2 linked regions of the Canis lupus familiaris genome follow. The main gene of each other region encodes a partner of the protein of the gene in region 2 in a complex. Links are inferred from orthologs where the notes say so. Each region holds a gene or a part of one and is shown on either strand. Other genes may lie near its edges. The genes, in order: PPIF and VDAC1.

Evidence for each region.
Region 1: VDAC1 (region 2) and PPIF share a complex: the UniProt entries of both Homo sapiens proteins name them as parts of the mitochondrial permeability transition pore complex. The link is inferred for Canis lupus familiaris from reciprocal best matches to the Homo sapiens genes VDAC1 and PPIF.

Annotation. Positions count from the first base shown.
Region 1 is NC_049225.1:29,795,541-29,810,002, forward strand, and holds PPIF (peptidyl-prolyl cis-trans isomerase F, mitochondrial), read left to right. Parts: upstream 1-5,984; coding exon 5,985-6,173; exon of another isoform or gene 6,174-6,227; intron 6,228-7,242; coding exon 7,243-7,273; intron 7,274-7,744; coding exon 7,745-7,833; intron 7,834-9,538; coding exon 9,539-9,635; intron 9,636-10,098; coding exon 10,099-10,174; intron 10,175-11,339; coding exon 11,340-11,475; 3' UTR 11,476-12,398; downstream 12,399-14,462. UniProt on the Homo sapiens protein: PPIase that catalyzes the cis-trans isomerization of proline imidic peptide bonds in oligopeptides and may therefore assist protein folding. Involved in regulation of the mitochondrial permeability transition pore (mPTP).
Region 2 is NC_049232.1:22,224,363-22,239,011, forward strand, and holds the start of VDAC1 (voltage-dependent anion-selective channel protein 1), read right to left. Parts: upstream 8,950-14,649; 5' UTR 8,929-8,949; intron 8,405-8,928; exon of another isoform or gene 8,305-8,404; intron 1-8,304. UniProt on the Homo sapiens protein: Non-selective voltage-gated ion channel that mediates the transport of anions and cations through the mitochondrion outer membrane and plasma membrane.

The sequences.
Region 1 (14,462 bases), on a different chromosome or scaffold from region 2:
AGGCTGCACAAGATCCACATCCAGATCCCTCACGTAGTTGCTAGCCAGCCTTGGTGGCTCACCACGGGGCCGCCAGAGGCTGCCTGAGTGTCACAGCATGGTAGCCGGGGAAGAGAGAGAGAGAAAGCCCAAGTCAGAAACCACAGACGCTTTGTACCCTAGTCTTGGAAGTGACATATTCTGTTCCCTGGGAGGGAGTCATTAGGTCCAGCTCACATCCAAGGTGATGCCTCCACAGGGGCGGGCATGGGGAAAAAGGTGGAAAGAAGAAAAAAAAATCGTAACATTTTTTTGAGAGTGGAAAGAACCCAAGCCCAGTGAGCCCAGCTCAAATGCTGCCTGTTCTGTGTAGCCCTGGGCTGCCTGCCACCCTGCAACTTAAGAGTCCCAGCCTCTAGAATCTTCCATCCACTGAGCTAACAGACCAGCCCAGCCAGCCTCACGGGCTGTTCCGTGGATCAAAAGATCCAGTGGCTATGGATACACTTAAGGAAGCCCCTAAACACGGAATGCCAGTCTTGGGCAGATGGTAGTAAAAAAACAAAACAAAAACAAAAACAAAAAACAAAAAACAACACTCCTTGGGGCACCTGGGTGGCTCAGTCAGTTAAGCAGCTGACCCTTGATTTCGGTTCAGGTCCTGATCTCAGGGTCCTGGGAGGGAGCCCCGCACCAGGCTCGGCCCTCAGTGCAGAGCCTGCTCCAGATTCTCTTTTCCTCTCCCTCTGTCCCTCTCCCATGAACGCTGGCTCTCCCTCCCTCTCTCTCTAATACATAAATAAATAAAATCTTTTTTTTTTATTTTTTTTTATTTATTTATGATAGTCACAGAGAGAGAAAGAGAGAGAGGCAGAGACACAGGCAGAGGGAGAAGCAGGCTCCATGCACCGGGAGCCCGATGTGGGATTCGATCCCGGGTCTCCAGGATCGCACCCTGGGCCAAAGGCAGGCGCCAAACCGCTGCGCCACCCAGGGATCCCAATAAATAAAATCTTAAAAAAAAAAAAAACCACTCATAAACCGGCCATGGGCACACCTTAGGGCGCATATCCGCAGGGCACAGTATCATTCCCTCAAGATCACCCGTTCCACTCTGGCTGTGAGTCCTCGGCTGGCTGGGCTAGGTGGGGTGCATGCACCCATCCACCAAGGCCCCCGTGTGTCCAAAGCCCTTCACCAAGTCCTGCCCCTTAACACGGACCCTTCTGTGACAGTAGCAGCTGTTTACAGATGAGGACACTGAGGTCCCAAGAAGCCAGAGACGACCTCCCTGAGCTCATCCGTACATGTGCTTTGGTCCGAGGGTTTCCTCCCGGGTCAGGCCGCGCGGACCCCTCTCATAAAGCAGCCCCGCCCCAGCCCCTGCCCAGCACAGCACCTTACTTCAGGCGTGCGCGACATGTACCACCGTCCAAGAGCATCTTCCTTCTCCTTTGCTTTTTTTTTTTTTAAATTGTTGTACCCTCTCTTTTCCCTGTGAAAACATGCGTTTACTTTTCTGTCCAATGACCCCCGTGTCTCTAAGCCCTAGAGGAGTGGCAGGTGCACAGCAGGGTGCAGAGCAAAGCTGTGGAGTGAATGCGTGAAGTGGGGGGCTGGGTTTCCAGCAGACTTCTGCTGTCTCAAAACCCACACTTGGAGGCCCCGGGGCTGGCGGACAGCCGCCCCTTCCCCGGAGCCTGCCTCCGCGAGGCTACCCACCCTCTCCCTTTGGGGGCAGCTTCTCAGGAAGGCCTCCTCAGCCCCCAGGGCCACCCAGCTCACGCGGCCTGCAGATGTATTCAGCAAGTGAGCTCCCACCCTCCTTGCCCCGTAACCCGCAGGGGAGCTGGGGCTGGGTCGGCTCCCAGGGGCCCACAGCACCTACACACGCCACCCCGCGAGCCCGGCTCTGGAAAGGGGAGTCTCCCCAGCCCTTCCTCTTGGGCCTCCCTCTGGTCACTGTCTACCCCCCCACAACCACCAGCACCCTGGCCTGGAGGGAAACCTCCTTGCCCGCCCCCCTCCACTTCCCATCATGCTCTGCCACGGCGTGCTGGGGAACTGAGCGGCCCAGTGGTTCCCGGAAGCCCAGAGAGGCTGCTGGCTTCCAGCTGCTCCCTGGAGGCTGGGAATGCCCGGGGGAGGACCCAGAGTGCAGCCCTCCCCGTGGCCTGCTGGCAGGGTCCGACTCGCTTCCTGAGCTCTCAGCCAAGGCCTCCTCTCCCGGGCTCCCCGTCAGCCCCCATGACTGGTACCATCCTGGACCCCAGGCCCCCCAGTGGAACCAAGAGACATGAAAGCCCAGGCCTCCTTCTACCTACAGCACACTGTGCAGTGACTGATACTGGCAATGATGGCTCATGGAGACCGCCCCCCTTACCCACATCAGGGCCAATTCCCTCCCAGCCCCTCCTGGAAGGGTCTCCAGGGGCACCGTAATTGCATCCCTCACGACAGCCACCATATGCACCCCTGCCACGCACCCTGGCTGCCTGGGAGAGGCCTACTCAGTGGCACCCAAAACAGCCTGTCCCAGACTCCATCCTGTATCCCCAGGGCAAAGCTCAGGCCCGACACGTAACAGGTTCTCTGAAAACATGTCTGCTGAGCGAGGCGAGTCTTGCAGAAAGGGTCCTGGCAATGGTGAAGAGAGGGCTTCGTCCCCAGTCCTGGTACTTCCAGGCTGTGTGACCACGGGCAAGTCCCTGTCCCTCTCTGGGCTTCAGTTCTCTCATCCAGATAGCGGAGATCAGAACTTGCAAATTACTGGCCCAGAGGTACCATCTGCGTTGTGGATATGGTGTTTGTGGCTCGTTCAGTGTTTAATTTTATTTTAAAATTCCCAATGTTTAAAAATTGGGAGATTCCCATAAAACCTGAGGTTTTCAGCTTTTATTGAAAAAGGAGAAGATCTTGGCTCTACTGGGTCCCTAGTCTCACACACACAGTTGGCTGGCCGGGGCAGCAGCGGCCCCTTTACCTGGGGTGTGGACACAGCGCAGTGCCCCCTCACTCCCTAGACCTCGCCCAGTATGCTTCACTTGTGTGTGTCACTGCCCAGCCCCCGCAGGCATCCGAATTTGTCAGCCCTGAATGTCAGCATCACCTGTCTGTTCTTTGGCTCTATGACACCTAAAGGAATCCTACGGGATCCCCAGGTGACAAAAACCATTAACACCCTGGATGAGAAGCCACTTCAGCTGAGTGGAGAGAAACTGCTGTTTCTGAGGATGACACAGAGTCTATAAATAGCCTCGGAGCCAGGTGAGTACGGACACCTGCCCAGTCTCACCTGGGCCGGGAGTCCTGGAGGGCGGGGCATGCTTCCGTTCATGGCTCAGCCCAGGGAATGTCCCTCTTCCTGATGCCGCTGAGGACAGTACAGGTAGGGATGACTTCACAGTTCAGCCTGTGGAGAAGGTGGAACTTTTCTCTGGCTTGGGCAGGAAGCAGTGATGACATTTGATTTTCCAAACAGGGTAGGAGTAACACGAGTGAATGAGGCCAGTTCCCAGTCTGGGGTCCTGGGGATGGGGCCACTGCACCATCAGTGGCTCCTCTGGGCTACCCAACAACGTTAGACCTCAGCCCTGCCTCCAGGACCCCCCTGTGATTGCCCCCTACTCACACCCCAGCCTTTCAGCTTATGGTCAATATTGCATCACAGCCCTTCCTTGAAGGTAGCCCAGGCTGGCTCTGGCTCACTCCCCCTCTGGAAGCTCCTCTCCATCTTTGAGTCTCTGCCCCTCAAATGTGGTTGTCTCCAGGCTGATCCCCCAGGCGGAAGCCACCTGCTCTGTCCCTTGAGTTCCACAGTCTTCTCTGGCTAACTCCTCAGCTTCTCTCCTACTGCTTGTCCCTCTTAGTCCCGCCACCCCATTTACCAGCCCCATGATGGCAGCAAGAAGAGTCTAGTCTAAGCAAGGACTCAGACAGAGTCCTCCCCGTTCCAACACTCCAGCCCTGGGCAAGTCACCCTCCCATCTCTTAGGGCTTTCCTTCCCCATCTATGAAATGGAACTGCCTCCCATGCTATGGTGGGAAGCAGACAAAAAAAGGGCTGGGCAGGGGCTCTGAGAATGAAAAGGATTGAGTGAACGATGGCACTCAACCATCCTGGGTTAGGGCTGCTCATGCTTCCCTGGGGTGGGGGATAAGTGGAGGCCCTCCAGGAGCAGGCTTGGAGGACAACGGGGTAGCACTAATCCACCAGCATAGCTACGGACTGTGTGAGCTGAGGACCTGGAATGGACACTGGGGTGAGTCCTCTCTTCGTCTTTCAAATCTATAGTATGTAGTGATACAGTAGGGATCTGGGAGATTGCTGAGGGCCTGGATGGGGCACGGAACAAGCCGGCTTCCCACTCAGGCCTGTCCTACTTTAGGGCACGATAGTCATGAGAAAGGAGGAGCCATTCCCCAGGACCGAGTGAGGCTTCATCCTGGGCTGGAACCTGGGAAGCCTCCTGGCTCCAGGATGCAGCTGGAGCATCACTGAGTGACCAGGGTCCTCTTGGATCAGGATTAGGGAAAGGGACTGTAAACTTCTAGAAAAGGGCCAAGCCAAAACTCTCATGAGCCTAGAACCTCATGAATTTCCTTGGGCCAGTATTTTGCCATCTGACTCCTTCCCAGGAGCTGACTCAGGTCCCAGCTCAAGCCCACCTGACTCCAAGGTCCAGCCTCCACCCTCTTCTTGGGCCCCTTGGACCTCGGAGCCCCGGCAGCTGAGACCCACTGCTATCTGAGCCCTAAAGCTGAAGTAAAGATGGTCTAGACCCTGTCTATTGCTGATGCACAGTACCTAACAGTTGACACACTCCTCTCTCTCTTGTTCATTTTACCCTGGAAACAAGCAGGGTCAGGATTACCATTATATCCTTATTCTCCAGAGGGGAAACTGAGTCTCAGAGAGGTCTGAGAAGACTGGCACAGGCTGGCAGGGGAAGATCCAGGCTGCTCCTGGCCCTGGGCCATGCCTTCCTCAGTATGGGTCCTTGTTTCCCATTTGGAGCGTTCAGGTTTGCCAAGATGCTCTCCTGGGGCCCCTATTATTTACTCACTATGGGCCTCCCACACCTACCAGGTTTCTATGAAGCCCCCCTCAACCTGTGGGATAAATCCTCTTCACCACGGTCCTCAGTTCCCCTTCTCTTCCTGCCTTGCCTTTTCACTTTTCCTTGCATTGCCTATGAACTGGGCCCTGTGCTGTTACCTGCAGGTGCGTTCTTGGGGTGACAGGGGTGGGAGGGAAGCCAGCAGCTGCCAGCTGACCCAGTTGCTGGGGACCAGGCCTGTCTATGGGATTGGGGAAGGGGCATCAGACTCACCCCTGGTGGAGGGCTGGGGCCTGGCCAGAGCCTGCTGGGCACCTGCTGAGTTCCAGCGATGTGGGAAGAGGATGTGGTGTCTAGAGGCATCCGGGGACAGGGCCAGACCAGGACTAGGAGGCCTGTGGTCGCCAGGGGAGGCGTCACTCTAATCCCCCTCATCTCCTCCTCCTTTGTCTCTCACTCACGTCTCTCTTGGTCTCTCTGTCTGCAGGGCCTAAGGGGGGACAGGAGGCCTATACGGAGGGCTCAAATGTAGATTTTTGTTATATTCAAATAAAAACATATGGCTGCTCATATTTTGGAGCTGACCGCGTTTTAGCACAGTTTCCCGCTTTCTTTTTTTTTTTTGTTTTAGTGTGTCGGGGCCCTTGCAGAGTGGAACCGGCCCCCTTTTGCCAGGTCGTGCGTGTCCCCGCTGTCCCAGGCCTTGGGGGTTGCCCCAGCCGCCGGGCTGCGCTGCCCGCCGGGGCCGCCAGGGGTCGCCCGCGGCCAGGCCCGGGGGGGGCGGGGGCGGGGCCTGGGGCGGGGGCGGGGCCTCGGGGCCGGCCCGGCCCTTAAAGCGGCGGCGCGCGGCGGGGCTGCGTCTGCCTCCCGGTCGCGCGTGTCCGCGGCCGCCGTGCCCTCGGTGCCCTCGGTGCCCTCCGTGCCCTCCGTGCGACCCCGGCCGCGATGCTGGCGCTCCGCCGCGGCCCCCGCCTGCTCGGCCTGCTCCGGGGCCCGCGCGCCGCCCCGCCGCGCCTCCCCGCCGCCCGGGCCTGCAGCGGCGGCGCCCGCGACCCGCCGTCGTCCTCGGGGAACCCGCTCGTGTACCTGGACGTGGGCGCCGACGGCCTGCCCCTCGGCCGCGTGGTGCTGGAGGTGAGCGCCCTGCCTGCCCCGGGCCGCGCCGGCCGCCCCGGCGACCTCGCCCCCGCCCCGCCCCCGCCGCGGGCCTGTGTCCCCGGCCCTGGGCGGCCTCCGAGGGGGGTCGCGGGTCTCGGCACCGCGGGGCGGGGCGGGCCCGGGGCGCGGACGAGCTCAAGGTCAGGTCGGGCAGGTCGCCGGCGGGGAGAGCCCGGCCTGCAGGCGAGCGGCGGGGCCGGGGGCACGTCCTGACCGCGGGTTGGCCCGGGCCGCACCCCGACCCAGGCTGGGGGCTCGGGGTGCCCCCGCGGGCGGGAGGGCGCTCACGTGGCGGCCCTGGCGGAACCCGGAGCCCGCCCCGCCCCCTCGGTGGGACCCGCCCGCCTGCGGGCACCGGGGAGGGGCGGGGGAGGGGGGGGGAGGGGGGAGGGGGAGCGGGCAGGAGCTGGGAGGCCGCCCCGGAGGGCCCCCCTGCCCTTCACCCCAGCCCCCCCCTCCGGCTCCCGACTCACAAGGTAAGACCCAGAGCGGAGGGCGGGAAGCGCAGGTGTGGCCCTCAAGGAGCTCCCTTTTGAACCGAGACGCCCCCGTCGGGCTCAGCGTCCTCTTCTGGAGGATGGAGACGAGACCACCCTCCTTGCTCCCGTCTGTTTGAGCGGTTCCCGCCTGGGTTCTGGAAGCTGGGAGGCGAGAGCCGGGCTTACCCCCCCCACACTCCCCTGCCTCTCTCTAAGCCTGTTTCGCTTCAAGGCCTTGGGGCGCTTGGACTGGCTCCTGGGGGGGCCAGAGCCCCCACCCCCTCCCGGTGTGCTGGGGGCCCAGCTGCAGAGCTGCACCAGTTCCATCCCCTGGGAGCAGGCCCCCTGGGAGCAGGCCGGGGTGGCACTGTCTTCTCTAGCCATAGATAAGGAACCCGCGGCTGCCTCCTCCCAGCCTGGGTGCAGGAAATGACCGGCCAGAGGAAGGCTGGGAGCGCCGCCCATGGAAGGGGCTCTTGGGCCACTGGGATTGGGTGGTGAGGAGGTTCCTCCGTCACCTGCCTCCACACTGACCACCTATTCGTGTCCCTGGTCTCTCCCCACAGCTGAAGGCCGATGTCGTCCCAAAGACGGCAGGTAAGACGGGGTTTGGGGCCCTTCTGAGTCTGGTCTAGATGGAAGAGAGGGGCCAGGTGGGGAGGATGGCGAGAGGAGTCGGGCACAGAGACCCAGCACCAGATGGGCGTTCCAGAGAACGTGAAGCTCGGCCGCTGGGTACCCGGGCAGCTCTCTGCGCCCCTCTGCCCTGCAGTCCAAAACAGCCTTGCAACTGGTAGAAACACCTGTAAATTTCCATGGGGACATCTTCCTCCCTCCCGGTGCCCAATGGGGCAGGGTGGTGGCTCCGTGGCCCGGGGACTCCATGCCGGGAGCATGTGCTTGGACACCAGGACACTGAGCTTTGAGAACATGACTTGTCCCGGGTCGCCCAGCCAGAGCAGGCCCCGGGGAGCGGGAGTGGGGGTGGGAGGGGGAAGGGGTGCTGGCTAGAAGGAGGCGCGCCCCTCAGCCTGGCCCTGCTGACCTGCCTCTTCCTTCAACCCTCAGAGAACTTCAGAGCCCTGTGTACCGGGGAGAAGGGCTTCGGCTACAAAGGTTCTAGCTTCCACAGAGTGATTCCGTCCTTCATGTGCCAGGTACTGCGGCCCTGTCTGCCTCGGTGCCTCCTCTGTGAAGTGGGGGGTGATGATGGCGGGGACGACCTTGTATGGTGGTTGTGAGGCCACCTGGGTGCGAGGAGATGCCGGATGGACGGGGCGGGTGACTGTCTGGGCCTGTCTTCTCGCCCAGAGTTGGTGGAGCTCATGTGGGCGGCCGTAGCTTCCCTGCCCTGGCAGTTGAGCGACAGGATGGCCTGGCTGGCGGAGCTGTGGGGGGCGAGCGGACACGGAGGCCCCGATGTGCATGGGGACGGGTGGGGAGGGGGGGGACGGTCAGGCTTTGGAGGACCACATCCCCCATGTGTCCCACTGAGTGCTTGGCGTGCTTGGAGTGGAAGAGGGGGAGGAGGAGGGAGGGAGAGAGACAGCACTGACAAGAACACACAGGTCTGGACCCGGAACTTCGACACCAGGGCCTCTTTCTCAGTTACTTGAATGTTCTTCAGTCACGTGTGCTGCATGTTTTTAAAAAACACCAGTATCGCTGTGTCGGAAGTTTTGGGATAGAAGTGGACAGCGAGAACTTCCCGAGGGTCAGGACCCCGCTGACAGGGCTTGGTGTCTTGAGGCCAGCAGACTGTAGAGGCAGGGCATGAGTGTCATGACCTCTGTGAGACCCGCCAGCCCAGAATGTTCTCTCCCCCATTCCCTCCACTCAGGCCTAGGGCCGCCCTCATATTGTGAGGGGCGGTGGGCTGGGGCTCGGCCTGGGCCTGCTGATGGGGCGAATGAGGTGAACACAGGGGCGGGAGGGGAGGTTGTGGCAACGTGGACAGGTCTGGCCAAGCCTGTGGCTCTCTGCTGCCCCCAGCTCTGCCCAAGGGGCTGTCCTGAGCCAGGTTAGGGTCTTCCTCTGAATAGCAGCAGGCGGGCCAGGGCGCTTCCCAGGCTGGCAGGCTCCCTGGGGCATGAACTGGTCCCAGGAGGCCCAGGGCAGGGTTTTGAATCAGGCGCACCTGGGGACAGCCTGCTGGCATTTAGGTCTGGCTGGTCAGGTCACTCCTGTCACCCGAGGAGCACAGCTCAGGAACACAGCCATGAGGCCTTGGCCAGGGGCTGGGGCTGGGGCGCCTCTGGCCACAGCTTCCTGTGAAGCCTCAGGCTGGAGTGAGGAAGGATCCCAGGCCTGGGCAGGTGGGGGGGTAGAGTGGGGGCAGATGGATACGCCATCCTGGGTCTGCAAGGTATAGGGAGGCCACCTGGCTGGTGAGGAAGGAGATGCCGGGCAGGCAGTGGGGCTCAGCCTAGGGAACTGGCTCTCTGGCAGCTGCCGCTCCCCCCCACAGAGCAGCCTTGGGAACAGGGACCCCTGGCCACCTCCCTGTCTCCCCTCCAAGAGTTGCAGGTAGAAAATTCTAGGTCACTACCTATGAATCTTCTCAGAATGGCCATTAGATCCTTTAAGAATCATTTAAAAACTTGCCTGGATAAAAAAAAAGTGAATCGTTTGGAAGGTAGGGAAGTTATTCATGGCCAAAAATATTTAAGCTTTTATTTTTTCTTACTTTCTTTGTTTTTTAATTAGTCCGTACATCCCTGGATGTTTTTTGACCCCCTGGCGTGCAGGGCTGCCGGCTGGGTGGGCCCTGGGTGGGTTGGGGGGCTCCCTCCCAGCGCCGGGGCAGCACCCCCGCGGCCAGCTCAGGGTGGCAGCTGCTCAGGAGGTGCTCTGTGCTCGCAGGCGGGCGACTTCACCAACCACAATGGCACCGGGGGAAAGTCCATCTATGGAAGCCGCTTTCCTGATGAGAACTTCACGCTGAAGCACGTGGGGCCAGGTGAGCGAGCCTGCGGTTCCCCGGTCCGGACGCCCTGAGCTCTGGGCCGGCGTTTGCAGCCTGGTGACTGATTTCCCAGAACCTGGTGATGCCCCTTCCCTCCTTCTACCCTCCTGGTCGGGGTGTTGGTTCTCCTGGAGCTTTTTCATGCCAAAATAGAAATAAGCCTTCCTTGGAGAAACTGCTAGAGAACGCCTTTGGGCAAAAGCCAGTGTCGGTTCACATTTAAGACCCAAGGTGCAGTTCGCAGAAACGTGGAGGTCGGGGTGCACAAGTCCCTCCCATTCCAGTCTCCACCATGGATCACGGGACGGGCCCTGGGGAGCTGTCGAGCGCTGGGCCCTGCTTGTCCTCGCCAGGCTCCAGGACCTCAGACCCAGCCGTCCCTGCCGTGGCGTGAATGACTTCCCAGGCGGGAGGTGCCTCCTGGTGCAGCGTGGCTCACTCCTGCTTGTTTTTGCAGGTGTCCTGTCCATGGCAAATGCAGGCCCCAACACCAACGGCTCCCAGTTCTTCATCTGCACCGTGAAGACGGACTGGTGAGTCCCCACGCCTGACTCCAGGCCCTCTGGGAAGGAGGAGGATGCAGCTGGAAGAGGGTTGATGTGCTTCCGGGGGAAGGTGGTGTGAGACCGGACCGTGCTCTGGGACAGAGGCTCTCACCCGGGCTATGTGTCCGTCCGTATGGGAGAAAGACGAAGTGCATAAAAGGAATGAGGGAGGATTCGGGTCGTTCTTAGAACCGTGTCTTTGTTAGGTCTCTGCTGCTGCGTGTGCACATGCACACACCATGGGCTTTTACCAAATACATCTGGGACAGGCTGCAGAGCTTCTCAGGCCTCAGGGTGGCCTGTGGTGAAAGCCTGTTTGCTTGCTTTAACATGTTGTTCTGGCCTTGAGCTTGGAGCACACCTCTGGCCCACACGCCTGTGGATTTTAGGGATGTCTTCCCTGGCACATTTCCTGTTACCTCGTAAGTTCGTCTGTCCAAAGTCCCCTGTGTCCTAACCCTGAGGCACATGGGGTTGAGGGGACAATAGTTGACCAAGAGATAAGACTTATTAAAGTCCATTTCCTAGGACTCCAGGGAGACCTGAGTGGCAGATGGATACTAGCTGTCGCTGACCCCAAGCCAAGAGGGACACGGGTGTCAGGGCAGGTCGTTGCTGGCTCTGGGCTCCTTCTGTGGAACCCCTGATAGATCCTGCGGTTCTGCCCTTGGCTGGATCCAGAGTTGGCCTTGCTGGCACCAGACTAGACTGCTTTTGGGTTCTTGGAACTCTCTCAGATTGGGACTTGTGATCTTGGCTCTCACCTTGCCACGCATGACCACGAAGATGGTTCCATTTACACGCACCTCTTGTTTCTTGAGAGTAGCTTGATACCCTGTGATCTCCGTGGGCAGAACAAGAATAATTCACTTTTCATAGATGAGGTTACCAGGATCCAGGTTAAGCGGCCCAGGGCAAGGTCACACGGCATGTGAGACAGAATGTGCCCTGGAAGGGAGGGATCCCCTGGTGCGTTTTTGGGGAGTTCAGCGAAGCTTGATGCCGGAGCTTTGGGGGTGGGTCCAGATTTTCAGTGTGAGTCCCTGTCAGAGTTGCTAAATAGCTAAATTGATGAATAGTTCCATGACTGAGGGACCATGATGACGTTGGCGGACACTGCACTACTCTTATTCGTACTTGACTCCCCTCACAGGTTGGATGGCAAGCATGTTGTGTTTGGCCACGTCAAAGAGGGCATGGACGTAGTGAAGAAAATAGAATCTTTCGGTTCCCGGAGTGGGAAGACGTCCAAGAAGATCATTATCACAGACTGTGGCCAACTGAGCTAACCTGCCCCGGCCAGGGCGCAAGGGTGGTTGCAGCTGCACTGGTGTTGACTCACCTGGACGGCCGCCTTGGGCCCCAGCAAAGGTGCCCCGTCAAGTCGCCTGTGCTCGTTCTACCATCAGTGTGTCTTTGAGGAAGGCCTCTCTAGGATGTCACATCTCCACAGGGCCCAGCACACTGCCTCCCATGTCCACCCTTCCTCACACCCCATTTCAAGACCCTGGTCGTGAACACGATGTCACCGTTCCTCATCAGGCCTTCTCCGTGACCCCCCAGCCCAAGTTCACCTGTGCCTCTCATCAGGCCTTCTCTGTGACCCCCCAGCCCAAGTACACCTGTGCCTTGGATGTGGAAGCAGCGATGGCTTAGCTTTAGGGACGGGTTCCTGCCTTTTCCTCGGCCAGGGCCAGGAAAGCCAGCCGCTGTAAACAGGCCATTATAGCTGTTCAGTGGTACCTTCGAATCAGAATAATTTAATGCACGAGGTTGCCCCGAGATGAAGCTGTGACATTAACTACCCTGTGCCGTCATATGACCTCAGTTGGCGGCAGAAGCCATGGGAACCCAGAGCTTGGCCTTCGGAACATTATCGGGGCTTTTGTGAAGGGTCCTTGGCCCTGGCATTTTCTCCCGGCCTCTGTGAATCCCACTGGTTTGCTGCTGTGGTTTTTGAGGAGAGTCTGGGGGGAGGGAGGAGAGAAGCAGACAAACCTGGGAATAAACCCACTGCAAGCTGTGCCTAGTTGGTGAAGTGGTGAAAAATGGAAATGGCCCACACATGCCGGGGGCTCTGGAGGAAAGTAATTGTGTATTTTCGGAAGGGCTTTGATTTATCTGTGTTTAATGTACTGATTATGTATATAATTCACTTTTGGGACATTTGTGTTCACTTGAAATGTGAAAATAAATCCTATTTTCTATAGAAGACTGTGTGGTGTCTGGTGGTCTTAGGAAGCAGTGTTTATAACTCCAGGATTTGGAGCCAACTTTTATTTATTTATTTTTAAGATTTTATTTATTTATTCGTGAGAGACACAGAGAAAGAGAGAGAGGGACACAGGCAGAGGGAGAAGCAGGTTCCCTGCAGGGAACCTGACGGTGGGACTCGATCCAGAGTCTCCAGGATCACGCTCTGGGCTGAAGGCGGCGCTAAACCGCTGAGCCACCCGGGCTGCCCTGGAGCCAACTTTTACTGGCGTTACCACACATGGGTCCGGGGCTCTGCTGAGGGTTTTTACCCGGATGATCTCACGTAATCAGTCCAACCAAGGATGTACTGTTGTCATCCTCATAGACGAGATGGGCCCAGACAAAGGATCTTAGCACCCACAGCCTGTCAGTGAGCACTGGCTCCCCACCCCATCCCCCGAATCACAGCTCCCTGTCCTAGTGACCCCGAGTCTGTTTTGGGGGCTGGCTCACAGAGTGGGGAGAGGCAGATGCGATCCATGTAAAGGGCACAGTGTGGGGCCTGGCTCGTCTTTTTAATATACACTCCGGAGTCCTAGGGCTGATGAGATCTCCCATGTGTCAGAGTCTTAGACAAGCATCTGTGATCATCTCCAGTTAGGTGTGGACTTGACTCTCCTAGATTTGCCACTCACATTGGGGATTCTAGATGATTCTGAGTCAACAGGGAAGGCAGATTGGAGTGGGAGAGCGGGATTCAGAACTGAAATGGCCAGAGATGGCACAGTTTGAATAATAGAATAATCACATTCTTTTTTTTTTTAATAATCACATTCTATTCACAATACGAATGGAATTATTTCACCTTGGGATTCCCAGAGTCTAATGGTGTGTGCTGCCTGTCATTCTGAGGTCACAGTGGCCACAGTTGGGTCATTTGGAGGCTTTCTATGATGTCAGTCTCCAGAGTTTAGCTGCATGGGCAGGGAGCTCAGCTGGCTTAACAGTTTTCTTAAGAAAGTCTTAAGAGATTATGCCTGGGTGCCTCAGCGGTTGAGTGTCTGCGCTTGGCCCAGGGCGTGATCCTGGAGTCCTGGGATCGAATCCCACATCAGGCTCCCTATAGGGAGCCTGCTTTTCCCTCTGCCTGTGTCTCTGCCTCTCTCTCTCTCTGTCTCTCATGAATAAATAAATAAAATCTTAAAAATTCTTAAGAGCCGTAGGGGTTCTCAGAACAAGGGGGAGACAAGGAACATGGGCCCCCAACCCCTATCTTCAATCAGATACCCTCTTTTTTCTTGTTGGGGCTCTATAAGGGGTCTCATGTGAAGAATGGGATCTTGAGCCCAACGGTAATCATGATAATGGTGATAATAATTGGTGATTACTCATCCAGTCCAGTGTTTTACAGATGGGTGAACTAAGGCCCCGAGTGGGGTCACGATGCCCCAGGTGACCCTGTGAGTTAGTTGGCAGAGCAGAGGCTAGAACTCGGATGCACCGATCCAGAGGGCTCCTGGTCAGGGGTCTCTCCCAGTGCACGGGCCCCTTGGTCCTCAGACCCCCACATCCAGAGCTCTTGTGATTGCTGAGGTCAAAGCCACAACTGCGTCTCTAGAGCTTTCTCCTGACCTCTGAGGACTCTCGGGAAGCAGCGGTGCTGTTAACAAGTGTGAGGGGCAGTCCCTTGAGTTGGGACCTGCTGGCCCGTGGTGATTTCTGGCAAGTCTCAGGGTCTCAGCGCCTGGGGGGCTTGCATTGACTTCACAGAGCCATTCTCTTTCCGTGAGAGGGGGTGAGTGTGTGTGTGTGTGTGTGTGTGTGTGTGTGTGCCTCCATCCAGAGGAGTGTGGTGGGAGGCAGGAGACAGGAATGCAAGAATTGTCTAAAAACAGGGTTTCCTGAAGATGAGGCCACTCGCTCCACTGGCCAGCTCCCTTCTAAGCACCCAGCTCAAGGGCCTGGGCCTGATCTTACTGGATAAAGCGGGAGCCTGAGATGCAGATAAGAGGGTGACTTGCTGGCACGTGGCACCTGGTGCCTGAATGAAGGCGTGAGTCATCCACGTGCTCTCAGATGT
Region 2 (14,649 bases):
GCTACAGGGAAGACGTGCGGGATCTGAGTGAAGCCAAGCCCACTCCTGGACCCAGGGAAGGCGAGAGGATGACTCCCCCTCACTAAAGGCCCCAGTGTGCCATGCAGAGGTAGCTTCCCCTATGCTTTTGGTGCAGTCCTCCGCTTTCCCCGCCCAGTCTCCTTCTGCATTTTCTGAGGATTCATGCAAGGCCTGAGACAGCTCAGCTTTCTTACAACTGCCAACAGCACCCAGAAAATGCCCATTTTTACACAGTTCTCAGCACCCACTGCAAAAACAATTTTTAGTGTAGAAATAATGATTTCCATTCATGTTTTCTCAGGTCGGGACCAGAGGGAAGAGAGCTAGGTATCCTGCCTTTTCACTTAACATCCTGCCTGTGCTGACTCCAAGGCTGAACTCTGGCCCTAGCCCCTACCTCCACCCACATTTGGTGAGCTCCAAATCGCTCACCATCTCTCTCTGTGACATCCACTCCATGTGCCTTCAGGAGACCATCCTCTGGAGGCTGACCACAAAATGGGGCACTCTGACACAGAGCTGACCCTGGACAAATGGGAATCAGAAGGCTGCCTGGGGGAAGGCGGGAACCTAGTTGTCTGCCTGGGGAAGGCTTCAAGAAAGAGCCCAGGGTCATGGTTCCCGAGGATATGTGGGACACAAGGGATGGACAGGCCTGGGCCGGGGAGACCTAACTTTGACAAGGACTAAGTAAGCCACAACAGGCAACAGGAGTCCCTGGTATCCCTCCACTGCCGCCTAGCCTACCTACCCAACCGTTCCCTGGCTGACCTTGAACAGATTACGCAAGCTCCACTCCAGTTGAGGAATGAAACTCCAGGCCCTACTGGAAGCTCAAAGCCTAGAGATAGTATATCGCCCAGCATGGCCTGCCTAACACTTACATAACCTCCGCCTAGAGGGAACATAGCTTCCTTGACTCATCAGTTGCCGAGCAGTGACGGCTGCTCTGCTCCCAGCGCCCCCACCACTCCCACAATGCACACCTACCCCCAAATTGCGCCCTTGAACTCAAAGCATCCAAGAGCCTGTCACGCCTAAATTCATCCAAAATATGTAAAAAGCTATGTGTCAAAGATGACAAGCCCTAGCACGTAGCAGATATTCAATATAAATGTCTGTTTAATGAGTAAATGTGCAAAGAGCATGAAAGCATTTTTATAGTAGGAGGAAAAAAATAGAAACTTAGTATCCAACAAGAGGGTCTAAGTCAATGACAATGTAAACCAGGCAGTAAGAGCTCCCTCCGCAGCAGGGGGTGGAGAGACCCACAACCAGCACCCTCTTCACCCACCTTGACCTGAGGAGAGCTCAACTCAAGCCGACAAGACTACGTGCCTGCGGAAGTGATCACTGCCTCTTCTGACCTCGGAACAAGGCATGGACTTTATTCTAAGGGCCTCAGGGAGCCACTTTAGAGTGAATGACATATCTGTGTTTGAGAGGCTCACTCAACAAACAAATTGGCAAAACTGTAAGTGAAAACATCCACTGTTGGTGTGAAAAATGGCCACTCCCATTCACGCCAAGTGTAAGTACTTTGTACAGTACAGCCCCTCTGGAGACAGTTGCCGGCCTGTGTCTAAGCGGGCATATATCAACCTCGTGGCAATTCTGCTGTTAGGAACCCACCCAAGGCACCCTAAAGATGTGTACATGAGGATGCTCACTGCAGCATTACTTTTAACACACAAGCTGGAAGTACCTTAAATGTCCATCGACAGGGAAATGAATGAATAAAAAAAAATTTTTTAAGATTTTATTTATTTATTAATGAAAGATACACACAGAGAGAGAGAGAGAGGCAGAGGGAGAAGCAGGCTCCCTAGAAGGAGCCCAATGCGGGACTCGATCCCAGGACCCTGGAATCACGACCTGAGCCAAAGGCAGATGCTCAACTGCTGAGCCACCCAGGCATCCCATGAATGAATAAAAATTAAAGTACGTGCAAACTAAGGAGTACTATGTGGTAGAAAGAACAGGATGGATTTATGCATTGTGGCAAAGAAAGCTATCTTTGATATACAGCTATCTTTGAACAACACGGATTTGAACAAGTCTACTTATATGTGGATTTTTTTCAATAAATACAGTATAGTACTATAAATGTGTTTTCTCTTATGATTTTCTTAATTATTTTTTCTCTACCTTAGTTTGCTGTAAGAATATATATATAATATATGCAACATACAAAATATAAGTTAATCGACTATATCTTATTGGTAAGGCTTCAAGTTAACAATAGGCTATTCATAGTTAAATGAGGGAGAGGTCAAAAGTTATACAAGGAGGTGCCTGAGTGGCTTAGTCTGTTAAGTGGCTGCCTTCAGCTCAGATCATGATCCCACGGTCCTGAGATTGAGCCCCTGCATCAGGCTCCCTGATACATGGGGAGCCTGCTTCTCCCTCTCCCTCTGCCTACTGCTCCCCCTTGTTTATGCCCTCTCTCTCTCTCTCTCTAATAGATAAAATCTTTATACAAGGATTTTCGACTGCTTGGGGGTAAGCATCTCTAACTCCCATGTTGCTCAAGGCCCTGCTGTAGTTAAATGAAAAAAGCAAGTCACAGACAATGTGTTAATTCCATGTTATTAGAGGAAAACCCTTTTACAAACACATTTGTATATTCACACATTTGTGAATGATGGAAAGGCATGTTGAAATGCTACAAGCCCATCTGTAAATTGTGGCTGCCTGGGAGCTGCTTCTGGAAAGAAGAGGGGGTTTATGGAGGTAGTAGAGTTAAAAATAGGATTTTCAATGTTTATTCCACTTTATTATTTAAGTTGTTGGGATACAATGATAATTTTTTTTAAGGACAGGAAATTTAAAAATCCAGCCAACGTGTCTGAAATTGAGCTATGTTTGCCTACACGACGCAATAAGTCATGTTCTAAATGGCTGTTGCAATAGAGGAGCCAAAAGGAAAAGCCATGTGGAAAGTATCTATCCTGGTTCCAACAACAGATGCAAACCACACTGAGATGTCACAGTTAACAAGCAAGGCCTATAGGGGACACATTCTACTCCCAGGTGACCACCTGTAGCTCTGGACATCCTGTCCAGGAGGCAGGAGTTGGACAGTTTCCTAATTTTAGTGTACATGAGAATCACCTGAGCCACTTGTTCAAAAGCCTCCTTCCCTCCCTCTCAGCCTTTCCTAGCCTAGCAAACAGGCAGGACAGCACTTTTCTCTGCAGAGGCAGAAGGATCCAGACACAGGAGCCCTGGTACCCTCAGAGAGCTAACCACCACTGAAGTGGTTCACACAGGAAGCAGGGTAGCCTTAAGTCCTCGAGGCTTAGTCAGGATAAGTCTTCTGAGCAACATTACAGCCAATGGGTTGACAGACACTATCTTCAAGGGCAAGGGTACAACAGAGCTAGGACCTAAACACCAGGAGCCACCCTGCTACAGCATTTCCCAGCCTATCCGGGTGCCCAGGCAGCAGGATACAGTGACTACTAGAAGGAACTATGAGTCTGGCAGAGGTTCTACTGGCACCAGCCTTTACTAGCTGTATAATTTTGGACAAACCTCTGATGAACTTATATTCTCAGTGCCTCATTTTGCTCCATAAAATGGAGCTAACAATAGTGTCTTTCTTGGCCAATAGGAGACACCAGCAAAAGATGGAAGAGTGAGGCTGGGGCACTCGTTCCCCAAGCTCCCTCCCTGCTGGGCATTAGGTGGGCACTGATGATCTTCCAAGGCCATGGCTCCTGCCAAGGGGCCCTATCCAGGTTCCAAAGGACCCAAAGTTGTGGGGAGGGGGAGGAGGTGGTGTGGAGCACATCACTTGTCAGGTGCTCCACACTCTGCTCACATCTTGGCAAATGATCCCTTCATTATTACTGCACATAAGTGCATACCTGATTCCTGCAAGGACCCCAACTAACATGGCAATCACCTCCATCACCATCACCACCGTCCTGGATTTCCCTTAGAAAGGGAAAATTGTAAGAAAGCCTTTGGTTCTGCTGTTTCTCTTAACAGCATTAGAGGTGGTTTGTCTGAGCAGAACTGGGCCAGCATATAGGAGGAGCATCAGACCAGCCAGGGATTAGAACAAAAGCACCTCCCCCTAACCCTGGGGACCAGGAAAAGCAAGTTCCCCAGGAGGAGGCCAGCCCAGCTCTGAAAGCCAACATACTGGGCCCACACCATCAGAAGCTGCCACACACATACCCATCCCACATTTTCTCAGGGAAAAGGCAGCCCCTTGTTAGGTCTATAGGATGCTGGCAAAACCAACATCGTGTGCTCTGGTACCAAGTCTGTGTTTCCGGCACAGCTGTCCTTCCCTCCCACTCCACGACAGTCTCACACCGGGCAGCCCGGCTTCCTAGGCATTGCTTCTATTTTCAAACACCCCGGGAGGTAGGCCACCACCAGCACAGCCTTCCATCAGAATCCTCAAGACAATGTAACTGACCCGGGGACACCCTGCCTGCCTGCCTGCCTGCCCACCCATGAGGTTTAGGTCCCATGCACACCCAGAGCTCCGGCGTGGCCTCAGACTCAAGTTACCTGGAGCCTTACTGCCTGGCTTGATCCAGTGGGGTTAAAATAGATAGTGCTTGGGCAGGTAGATCTGGGAGTCAAGCAGCCCTGAGTTCCAGTACCAGTTCACAACTCTCTGGATACGTGGCTCAGGGCAAGAAAAGTCTCACTTTTCTCAGGTTCTAATATGGGGAAAGAGTACCTATCTCAGCATCACTGTGAGAACTGAATTAGATGGGTAACATGAAATACTTAATACAGTGAATAGTGCCTGGGAGGTATGCAACAACCAGATAGTATTTTATTAGAGATTTACATTTTATGTATTTCTTATTATAATTACCTTTGCAATGCAAGTTATCAAAAGGCCACTCTCTACCTGACCATAATGAGGGACTGTTTAGCTGAATATTCTCCCAGTAGGTCCTAGAATGCATCCTATCTCACCCGAGGAAAAACTGACCTTTCAATCCTGACAGATGTCCAGGGTCACTGTCCTTGCGACAAAGAGGGATGACTCCACAGGACTGTGATCCACTGCAATCCACTGACAGCTAGCCTACGCCCAGCCATACACATGTTCACTCCGATTAGTGGGAAAGAAAACACTTCCCCTCTGAACAGCAAATCCTACCATTCAAAATGCATTCACATCTATTAGCTCATCCCAGTGGCCCCTTGGTGTGGCAACCTCAGTGCAAAATTGCCAGCCCTACCAAAAAAAGCAAAACAAAACAAAAACAAAAACAAAATTGCCAGCCCTGGAACTAGCCAGACAACCCTGAATCCCAAATATGTGCTCAAGCCTCCTGACCCATGAAAAAGAAACAAACCATAGTACCTCTCTCCCAAGGCTTGCAGGATAGTGGATTCAATGTTACAGAACACATGTTAAGCCCCCAGGAGGGTGCTGAGCAGGCCCTCAATTAAGGACTATTTTGATGATGATGATGATCACACAGGGGAGAAACTAAGGAACAAGACATTGACTTGACCTGTACTAGATCCGGGGGCTCCTGTCAGAGCTGTGTTGTGAACTCAGTCTGCTCTCCGAGACTCCTTCTAGCACAGTTCTGGGTAAAGGGCATATAGATACCCACCCACACACCACTAAGAGCAAGCAATGAAAAGGAGGATTGTGCCCAGGCCGGGTGGAGGATCCCACTGGTCACATTTCCTCAGTGGCTACCAGAAGTGTCTGTAGGGAGCCCAAGGGCACAGACCCTCTGAGTACCCTGAGGGGCTGCCTGCAGATTTGAGCTGGCTCTCAACCACACATGCCAACAAAGTCATCACCAACAAAGAGGGTAGGCCATGAGAAATTCCATCAAGGACCAAGTGAACTTCAGTCCCTTGGGAACATCTTACAGGCAAAAGTGGAGGGCCAGCGTTTCTCCTTAGCACCAGCCTGAAGGTTACTGTCCACATCTGCCTATTGCCCAGCAGGACCAGCAGCCCACAGTCAACTCATCACTATATGGTCCCCCTAAGCCACTGTATTTGTGTCTACAGATAGCCCTTGCCTATTGCATACAGAATAGAATACAGAAATAAAACTAAGTAATCAAGTAAGAGCAGTACTACCCCCTCCCCACGGTCAAGAATTTTACTCTGGACAATCTCCAGGGTCAAGCATTTTACCAATCCACTCATCAGAAAGAGGAAAAGCACCAGGCCCAAAACCTTAGGAGAATCCCGACTCACTGGGGTCACCCCACCACCACCACCCTGCAGGCCCAGAAACACCAGTTCTACAAGTTTCCCACAGGATGTGAAAAAGTCACATAACGAAGGTAATAGGTTTAAAGCAGATTTCAAATTAGGAAACAGATCTGCGGGCAGCCCCGGTGGCGCAGTGGTTTAGCACCGCCTACAGCCTGGGTCGTGATCCTGGAGACCCAGGATCGAATCCCACATCGGGCTCCCTGCAGGGAGCCCGCTTCTCCCTCTGCCTGTGTCTCTGCCTCTCTCTCTGTCTCTATGAATAAATAAAATTTAAAAATCTTAAAAAAAAAAAAAAAAAAGGAAACAGATCTGCATCTCAGTGCTCCAGGGCTGTACATTCAACTGCGAGTCTTTAAATATCTGTGACTCTCTCCTAAGCAAGGGTATTTGCTGGAAGTGAATGAGTGTGTGTCCCTTAGGATGTCCAAGATCAAGAAACTCTGGTCTGGGCCTGCATCCACTACATATGCCCATTCAATAATTTCACAAATACTTAATGAGCACCTACTCTAAGCCACATGCTGCCATCGTAAAAACTATCCTTCTCTCAGTAAGGGTGAGTTGCTTCTTGGATAAAAAGCAAGATTGCATTTGCCCCCACAGACCCTTCTCAAGTACCTAATGTGGGTCAAGTGGCACCACCCCAGGCGCTGAAAACAAAGCTGCATAAGGCTTAAGCCTAACCCTGTAGAACTCAGTCCAGAGCTGGGCTGGAGAAACAAGGCAAGCCCTGGGCAGTCTGCCCTGGCCTTGCCAACAGTGAATGCAGAAAAGGAGGGATCCATTCTCTATCTCCTCCAGAGAGGTGAGGCTGGTCAAGGGAATGGGTCAAACAAGGCTAGGCTTCCCTCAGCTCTGCACCCAAAGGCAACTTCCTGCTTCAGCCTGACCTTGTCTGTCTATAAACTTCTATAAGGATTTTTCATGAATTATCCTGAAAATTACTCAGTGCCCAGTATACAAGTGCTTAGTAATAATGTTTAAAATAACAGCAGCTGGCTGTTTATTGAACCCTTTCCAGAACACCACGTGGAGTAAAATGGTCTGCAGAGGATGGGCTAAATCCTCCCAAAAAGCCTCAAGGCTGTCCAGCTTTCCCCTGAAGGCTTCGTGTTGACCAACTCATTTTATTCTTCCCAAAAACCCAACGAGGGAGAGCTGTAACTGCTCCTATTCTACAGATGAGAGCACTCAGGCCTGCTGAGTGTGACCTTGGACAAGTCACTGGGATTGCAAGTCCGGAAATCCAAGGGCTCCGAGCCAGTTTCGTGAAGGCGCCGCCGCGCTCCGTGAATGAACGAGCAAACAAACCGGGAGGCGCTCCAGAGGCCAAGGAGGCCACATCCCGCTCCCGCCGGGCCTCCCTTCCCAAGGCCTAGCCCCCCGCCCGGGCCCTAGAGGCCTAGGACCCGCGGACAAGGCCGGGCGCCAGCGTCCCTGGGCGTGCACCCACGGGCCGGGCAGGGCGTGCGGGGCCGGGGGCCGGGGGCCGGTGCGGGGGCCGGGGCCGGGGCCGGGGCCGGGCTGGGCCTCGGTCATCACAGCGGCTCATCCCCGCGGCCACCGCATGGCCCGCGCCGGTCCGTGGGCCGAGCCCGGCGAGCGTGGGTGGCGGGCGGTCCCCCGCCGGGCCGCGAGGGCGGGACCCAGGTCCAGAGGGCGCCGCCGGCAAAGGTCACCGAGACCTGCAGCCGGCCGGGCCCTCACGCGCGGCCCGTGCCCTTCCGCCCGCGGTCCCCGCGGTCCCCGCAGGCTCGAGCCCCAGCCGCAGGCGCCCCGGGGCGTCCGGCCGCCCGCTCCCCGCCCGGGCCGCCCGCCGAGGCCTGCTGCGCCCGCCGCTGCCCGCCCAGGCCCTCGCGGGGCGCCCCGCTCCCGCCCCGCTCCCGCCCCGCTCCCGCCCCGCTCCGCTCCCCCGCGCCGCCCGGCCCGGCCCGGCCCGGCCCTCGGCCCCCCGTCCGCGCGGCTCCTCCCTCCACCGCCTCCCGCTCAGCTCCCGCGGCCCGGCCCGCCCCCCCGGGCGCCTGCGGGGCGCGGGTCCCCGGCCGAGGTGCCTACCTCGCGGGCGGCGGCGGGCTCGGCGGCGGGCTCGGCGGCACCTACCGCGGAGGCTGCTGCGCGAGGAACCGAGCGCACGGCCGGGCCGAGGGCGGGGCGGGGCGGCGCGGACGGCGGCGGCGCGGACCCGCCCCGACCCTGCGCACCCGGGCACGCGAGCCCCGCCCCTGGGCCCGCCCCGGACACCGCCCAGGCCGGGGCCCGGTCCCCGCGCCCGCGCCCGCGCCCGCGCCCGCCGCCCCCTCCGCGCGCCCTCGGCGCCTGCCCCGACGCGGTGCCCCGGGCGAGTGCGGGCGCGCGGAGGGGGGCGGCGAGGGCCCCGGCGCGGGACGAGGCGGCGCGCGAGGGGTGCGTGCGCGGGGACACGCGTGCCGGCCGCGGCGGCCGAGGGCCAAGCGCCGAGCAACCCGGGTGCGCCGAGCTTTTGCGCTCCAGAGTAGCAGGCACTTTCCCCGGGAGCGAGACTGCCAGTGGCCATTTTCGGAGCTTTTGCGAAGTGAAAACAGCAAACCGCGCTTCGGCAGAACGTCCCCCGCTGGGAGCCCGAGAGCGCAGACGGGAGGCGGGAGCCAGCCCGGGCCCCCGGGGAGCCCCCGCCCCGCCCGAGCCGGCGGCCTCCGTCACCCAGAATTGCGCAGAGCCTCGTGGCCGGTCGGAGGGGCTGCGCGGCTTTGGCCTCCGCCAACAAACGTTCGTTCTCCGCGCCTCGGGGCCCGTGGAGGAGGCAGGGGCTCCGGGACCCCGACGCTCGCTCACCACCAGCTGTGGCGCCGATTAAAGGAGCAGGCGGCTGGGGCGGCGGCAGAGGCCAGAGGACAGGCTGCTGGGCCGAGGGCAGCGGGAGGAGGAAAAGGCAACTGACTGGTGTTCCGATGGGGCCCGGATGCCGAGAAGAAGGGCACCAGCTTATGGGGTTGGGAAGGGGGGGGCGGGGGCGGTGCAAAGTGCACCGGGCTCTGTAGGGGTCTCTGGTCTAAGCACGCTAAACCCCCTGAGGTCCTGGAGCGTGGAGCGCTCATGCTGGAACTCTCCCCAGGCCCACGAGCTGCTCCATGGCTAACTGGAGGGCTCAGAGCTTCCCAGCCTGGTCATTCCCGCTCCACACACAAAGGCCCCGGCACACTCCTGGAGAGGGTGAGGCAAGGAAAGCCACTGAGTCACCCATGAGCGCAGGAAAGCCGCCTTTGGGAGGACAGGACCTCAAGGAGGCAGGGCAGAGCCAGATAGCTCTAGGGGAAGATGGGGCTCCAGAAATGTCACAGGAGCTAGGAGCAGATATCTCACCCTGGGTCAGTAAAGCCCAGGTGTGATGCTTGGACCAAAGGTCCTAAGTGTTCCCCTCCTCTCCAGCACCTCCTTGCCAAACCACCTTTCAGGACCCTGATTGTGGGAAGAGTTCCCCATACCCCACCTGCTCTGGGTCCCTTCTGGGGCTCCCCCAGGTGTCACTTTCAGATGAATCACACGAGTGTTCTTTGACTCACTGGCTGTGTGACTCTGGGCAACTGGGCTAACTGCTCAGCTGCAATTTCAGAGGGTTGGGGCAAGTTTAAAATGGGAAGCAAGCACTCCAAAAACACTGAAGAAATCTGGTGCAACATGGCATCCTCAGACCCTAGTGTTGACTGCTCCCCACCACAGCCCCAAAGGAAGAGCTGAACCAGGCAGCAGGTTATGCCAGGCTTGGCTCTGCCACCTCCAGCCCCACCTTCCTTCTTTCTTGCCAGGTTCGGACTGGAGGGGGGGCACCTGACCCAAGAGCAGCCAATCAGGTCCTCCCTTGCAATTATGAGCTAATAAACCCAGGTCAGGTATAACAGTGTTTCTTTGGAGGGAATGACCCTTCTCTCTCTCCAGTCATTCCATAAGCTTTGATGGAGCTAACTCCATCCCTGACTCCAGGCCCTTTCTTGGACCAATCAAAGCACTGCACCCTACTGGCTACAGGATGGACCAATGATCTTCGTCAGACTTCAGGGCTTTTGAAATAAAGACTTGCGCTGGGGCACCTGGGTGGCTCAGTTACTGAGTCTGCCTTTGGCTCAGGTTGTGATTCCAGGGTCCTGATACCAAGTCCTGCAACAGGCTCCCTGCAGGGGATAAATAAAATCTTTATAAAATTTTTAAAAAAGACCCTAAGAATGAAACCAGTCCACAAAAGAGAAACAGACCATATCCTGGGGACATCCCAAGATAAGCACAATAAAAATTTTTCTCCTGCAGATCCAAAACAATGAGGTGTCCCAGATCTAAAACAGGTCCAAGAAGTTCCAACATCGTATCTATGATTTTTTTTAAATTATATATACATACACTCAGAGAAAAATATTGGAAAGAAATTTATTGGAGGATCCCTGGGTGACTCAGCAGTTTAGTGCCTGCCTTTGGCCCAGGGCGTGATCCTGGAGTCCCAGAATGGAGTCCCACATAGGGCTTCCTGCATGGAGCCTGCTTCTCCCTCTGCCTGTGTCTCTGCCTCTCTCTCTGTCTCTCATGAATAAATAAGTAAAATCTTTTTTTAAAAAAAAAAAGGAAAGAAATATATTAAGTATTAATGGAAGTTGTGTTTCAATTTCTGGGAGTTTGTGACTCCTGGTCATCAGTTTGTAAGTTTGGGCTCCACGTTGGGTATAGAGTTTACAAAAAACTAAACTTTTTAAAAGATCAGTTTATGGGACTGATTTTTTTCCTTTAGTTCTTTCTATATCTCCCAAATATTCTTTAGTGAGATATAATACCTTTACTATAAAATGAGAGAACTTTTTTTTTTCCTGAAAGCCAAATGAGGTTGATCAGGAGAGGTAGTATAAAGTGATGCATTCCTGGAAAGCAATTAGGCAATATATAACAAGAATCATAAACCTACTCCTTTGACCTGCTCCTGGGAACCTATGCTAAAGCAATCCCAAGAAGGGGTAATACTAGCTTCAGAAAGATGTATGGCAGCCCAGGATGGAATACGGCCTGGTTTCCAGCTTGAGCAAATTGAAGCTTACACCCTCTATAGAGCATTCATAGCCTTGAGGAAAGGAGGTCACAAAGACTTCCGGTGGGGTAATATTTACTACAATGCTAATTGCAGGCAATTGTGTATTAGTATTACTGCAACATGACATTAAAAACTGTAGAGACGGGAATGCCTGGGTGGCTCAGTGGTTAAGGGTCTGCCTTTGGCTCAGGTCATGATCCTGGAGTCCCAGGATCAAGTCCCGCATCAGGCTCCCTGCATGGATCCTGCTTCTCCCTCTGCCTGTGTCTCTGCCTCTCTCTCTGTGTGTCTCTCATGAATAAATAAATAAAATCTTTTAAAAAATAATAATAAAAATAAAAAATATAGAGACAGAATAATGACCTCCCAAAGATGTCTATGCCCTAATCACCCAGATCTAAACATATGTTACCTTACATATCAGAAGTAATTTAACAGACATGATTATGTGCAGGATCTTGAAATGGATAGGTGAACCTAGACTGTCCGGGTGGGCCCTCTGTACTCACGGTGGTGTTATGAAGGAAGACAAGAGACTCGGGGCAAGGGGAGGTGATGTAACAACAGAAGCAAAGGTCAGAGAGAAAGATTGGAAGATGCCTTTCTGTTGACCTTGATGGTGGCAGAAAGGGTCATGAGCCACGTGATGCAGACAGCCCGGAAGCTGGAAAAGATAAGGAAACAGAGTCTCCTCTCAAAACCTCTAGAAGGAACCAGCCCTTGCTGACACCTTAACTTTAGCCCAGTGAGACTAATTTTGAACTTCTGACCTGAACTAAATCTAAATTGTTTTAAGCCCCTAAGCCTATTGTAGTTGTTTTGTTTTTTAAGATTTTATTTATTTGACAGAGAGAGAGCACAAGCACGCAGAGCAGTAGGCAGTGGCAGAAGGAGAAGCAGGCTCCCCACTGAGCAGGGAGCCCAATGCAGGGCTCAATCCCAGGACCCTGGGATCATGACCTGAGCTGAAGGCAGATGCTTAACCGACTGAGCCACCCAGGTGCCCCCAGGTAGTTTTTTATAATAGCCTAGGAAACTAATACACAAACCTCGGAAGACAATACTATAAATGATTTGTTAGACTGCTTAGTCAGCTCAGAGTACTAAAACAGAAAACCAAAGACTAGGTTAACAGACATTAATTTCTCACAGTTCTAGGGGCTAGAAGTCTGAGATTGGGAGGGGGTGGGCAGCATGATTGGGTTCTTGGTGAGAGCCCCCTTCCTGCTTATGTCCTCACATGGCTTTCCTTGGTGTGAGCACAGAGAGAAAGAGGAAGAGGGTGGGGAAGGTGGAGGGGGAAGGGGGAAGGGGAAGGGGGAAGGGAAGGAGAGAGAGATCCCCTGTCTCCTCCTCTTTTTATAAGGGCATTATTCACATCAGGGGGCCCCACCCTCATGACCTCATCTAACCTTAATTACCTCCCAAAGGCCCCACCTCCTAATATATTCCCGTTGGGGGTTACAGTTTCAACATTTGAATTTGAGGGAGGACAGAAACATGCAGTCCGTAATAAATGGCAAGGTTCTAAGTGTTTTTGTTTTTGTTTTATTTTCTCTAAGTTTCAACTTTCACACAGTGTGGGAAACAAATTAAAATCAAACAATTATGAAAAGAAGCAGGGATTTCTGCTATGTAAAACCACCTGTGATTTGGAACGCAGATCTAATGTTACTGTATGGCAAACCTGAGCCTCATCCAGGTCCAGCTCTGGTACTTGTAAGGGCCCTGGAGAGGGACACCAGTGTGTGTGCAAGCGCCTGCGTGTGTGGGGGTGGGGCTGAGAGTATTAGGTAGAACTGACTTGGGCTAATATACTACCAGAGACCTCTGAGCTAAAAGAGGGTAGGACTTTGTCCTTTGCTCAGCATGTACTGGGTCCTACAAAAGATGAAGAAAACCAGGCAAATATTCAGATAGGATCCCCTTTACTGCAAGAGACAGGGAATCTCTTTTCCAGACCCCACCAGTAAGTGGATGCATGCAGCATGGCCTGAAGACAGAAACAAAAATGCCTCTTGCCCTTGACTTGCATGCACTGCTCAAAGGTCTGGGACTTGAGGAAGAATTTCCCAATTTCTGCACCATGTCCTCTGCTAACAGGCAACACATTATTTGAAATGTGCGTGAGGTCAGATGCAGTTAAAATGGCCTTGTATCTGGTCCCAGCACGGTAGGGCTGCCCCAGGGATGCTTGTTTCCAGGTACTGTTCGTCCAAGGAGTCCTGTGGCTTACATGCTGCGCAAGCACAGGCAAAGGGGATGTGTGGGGCTGAGATCCTGTCCAGACATGGCTCAGGAAGCCTTGGGTCCTGACAAGACTGTTGTCGACCACAAGGAAGCAGTTATGTTTCTGCTGCTGGGCACCTTTCCGAAACCCATATGGAAGCATCCAATGGCAGCTGAGGCCCATGTGCCCCTACACCAGGCACACTCGTCCGTCCGTCTTTCCCACTAAAAGCTGCCTTTTCCTGCCATGCAATCTAAAGCAGGTTCTTTTCTCCCCTCTCTTCTTACTCTGAGGTCAGCCCTCTGTTTCCTTTTTAGCGTGTAGCACACTTCAAAATTCTTTCACACTTGTTTTGCTCTTGATTCTCCATCTCCCTCCTTAAAATGCTGCTCACATTGCAGGTGTTCAGTAAATGGTGAGTAAACAAATGTCTAAATAGATGGTGAGTGGCACACACTGTAAAAGGAGGTGACTGACTTCTATGCAGGTGGCACACTTTAAGGACCGCCGTTCTCGGTCCTCCTGGCCAGACAGCTAGAAATCGTGCCCAAGGATTGTCATTGATCATCCAGGAGGAAAGGCCTCAAAGCCTTATTGTGGGTGGAGGGCTGTTTAATCTGCCTGTGTAATAAGGAATTTAATCTTACTTCATTCTAAGAGAGGTCTGGAACTTGCCCTTAGCTTCTGGAAAATAATCTCTGAGCCCTTGCGAGGTCATGCCAGATAGGACTATCTTCATTTAGGGTGAGGGCTGGCCACACAGGATAAACTAACAATGTGATTCAGAGGAGGGACCAGTTACTAACTAGATAAACTAACAATGTGATTTAGGGTGGGAGCTTTGAGTCACACAGTAGCAGCTGGACCTCCAGAGGGACTGGATGTTGATATCAGCTACGTGGACAATTGACTATGGAGCCCCAGTAAATCTCTGGTCACCAAGGCTCAAGAGAACTTCCCTAGTTGGCAATATTCCATATCCATCACTGTAACCATAATGGCCCTTGGTGAGTTCTGCAAGTCCTTTTAGTAAATTATTACATATAAAGGTGATCTTGACTGGGCGGCCCCGGGTGCTCAGCAGTTTGGCGCTGCCTTCGGCCCAGGGCCTGGTCCTGGAGACCCA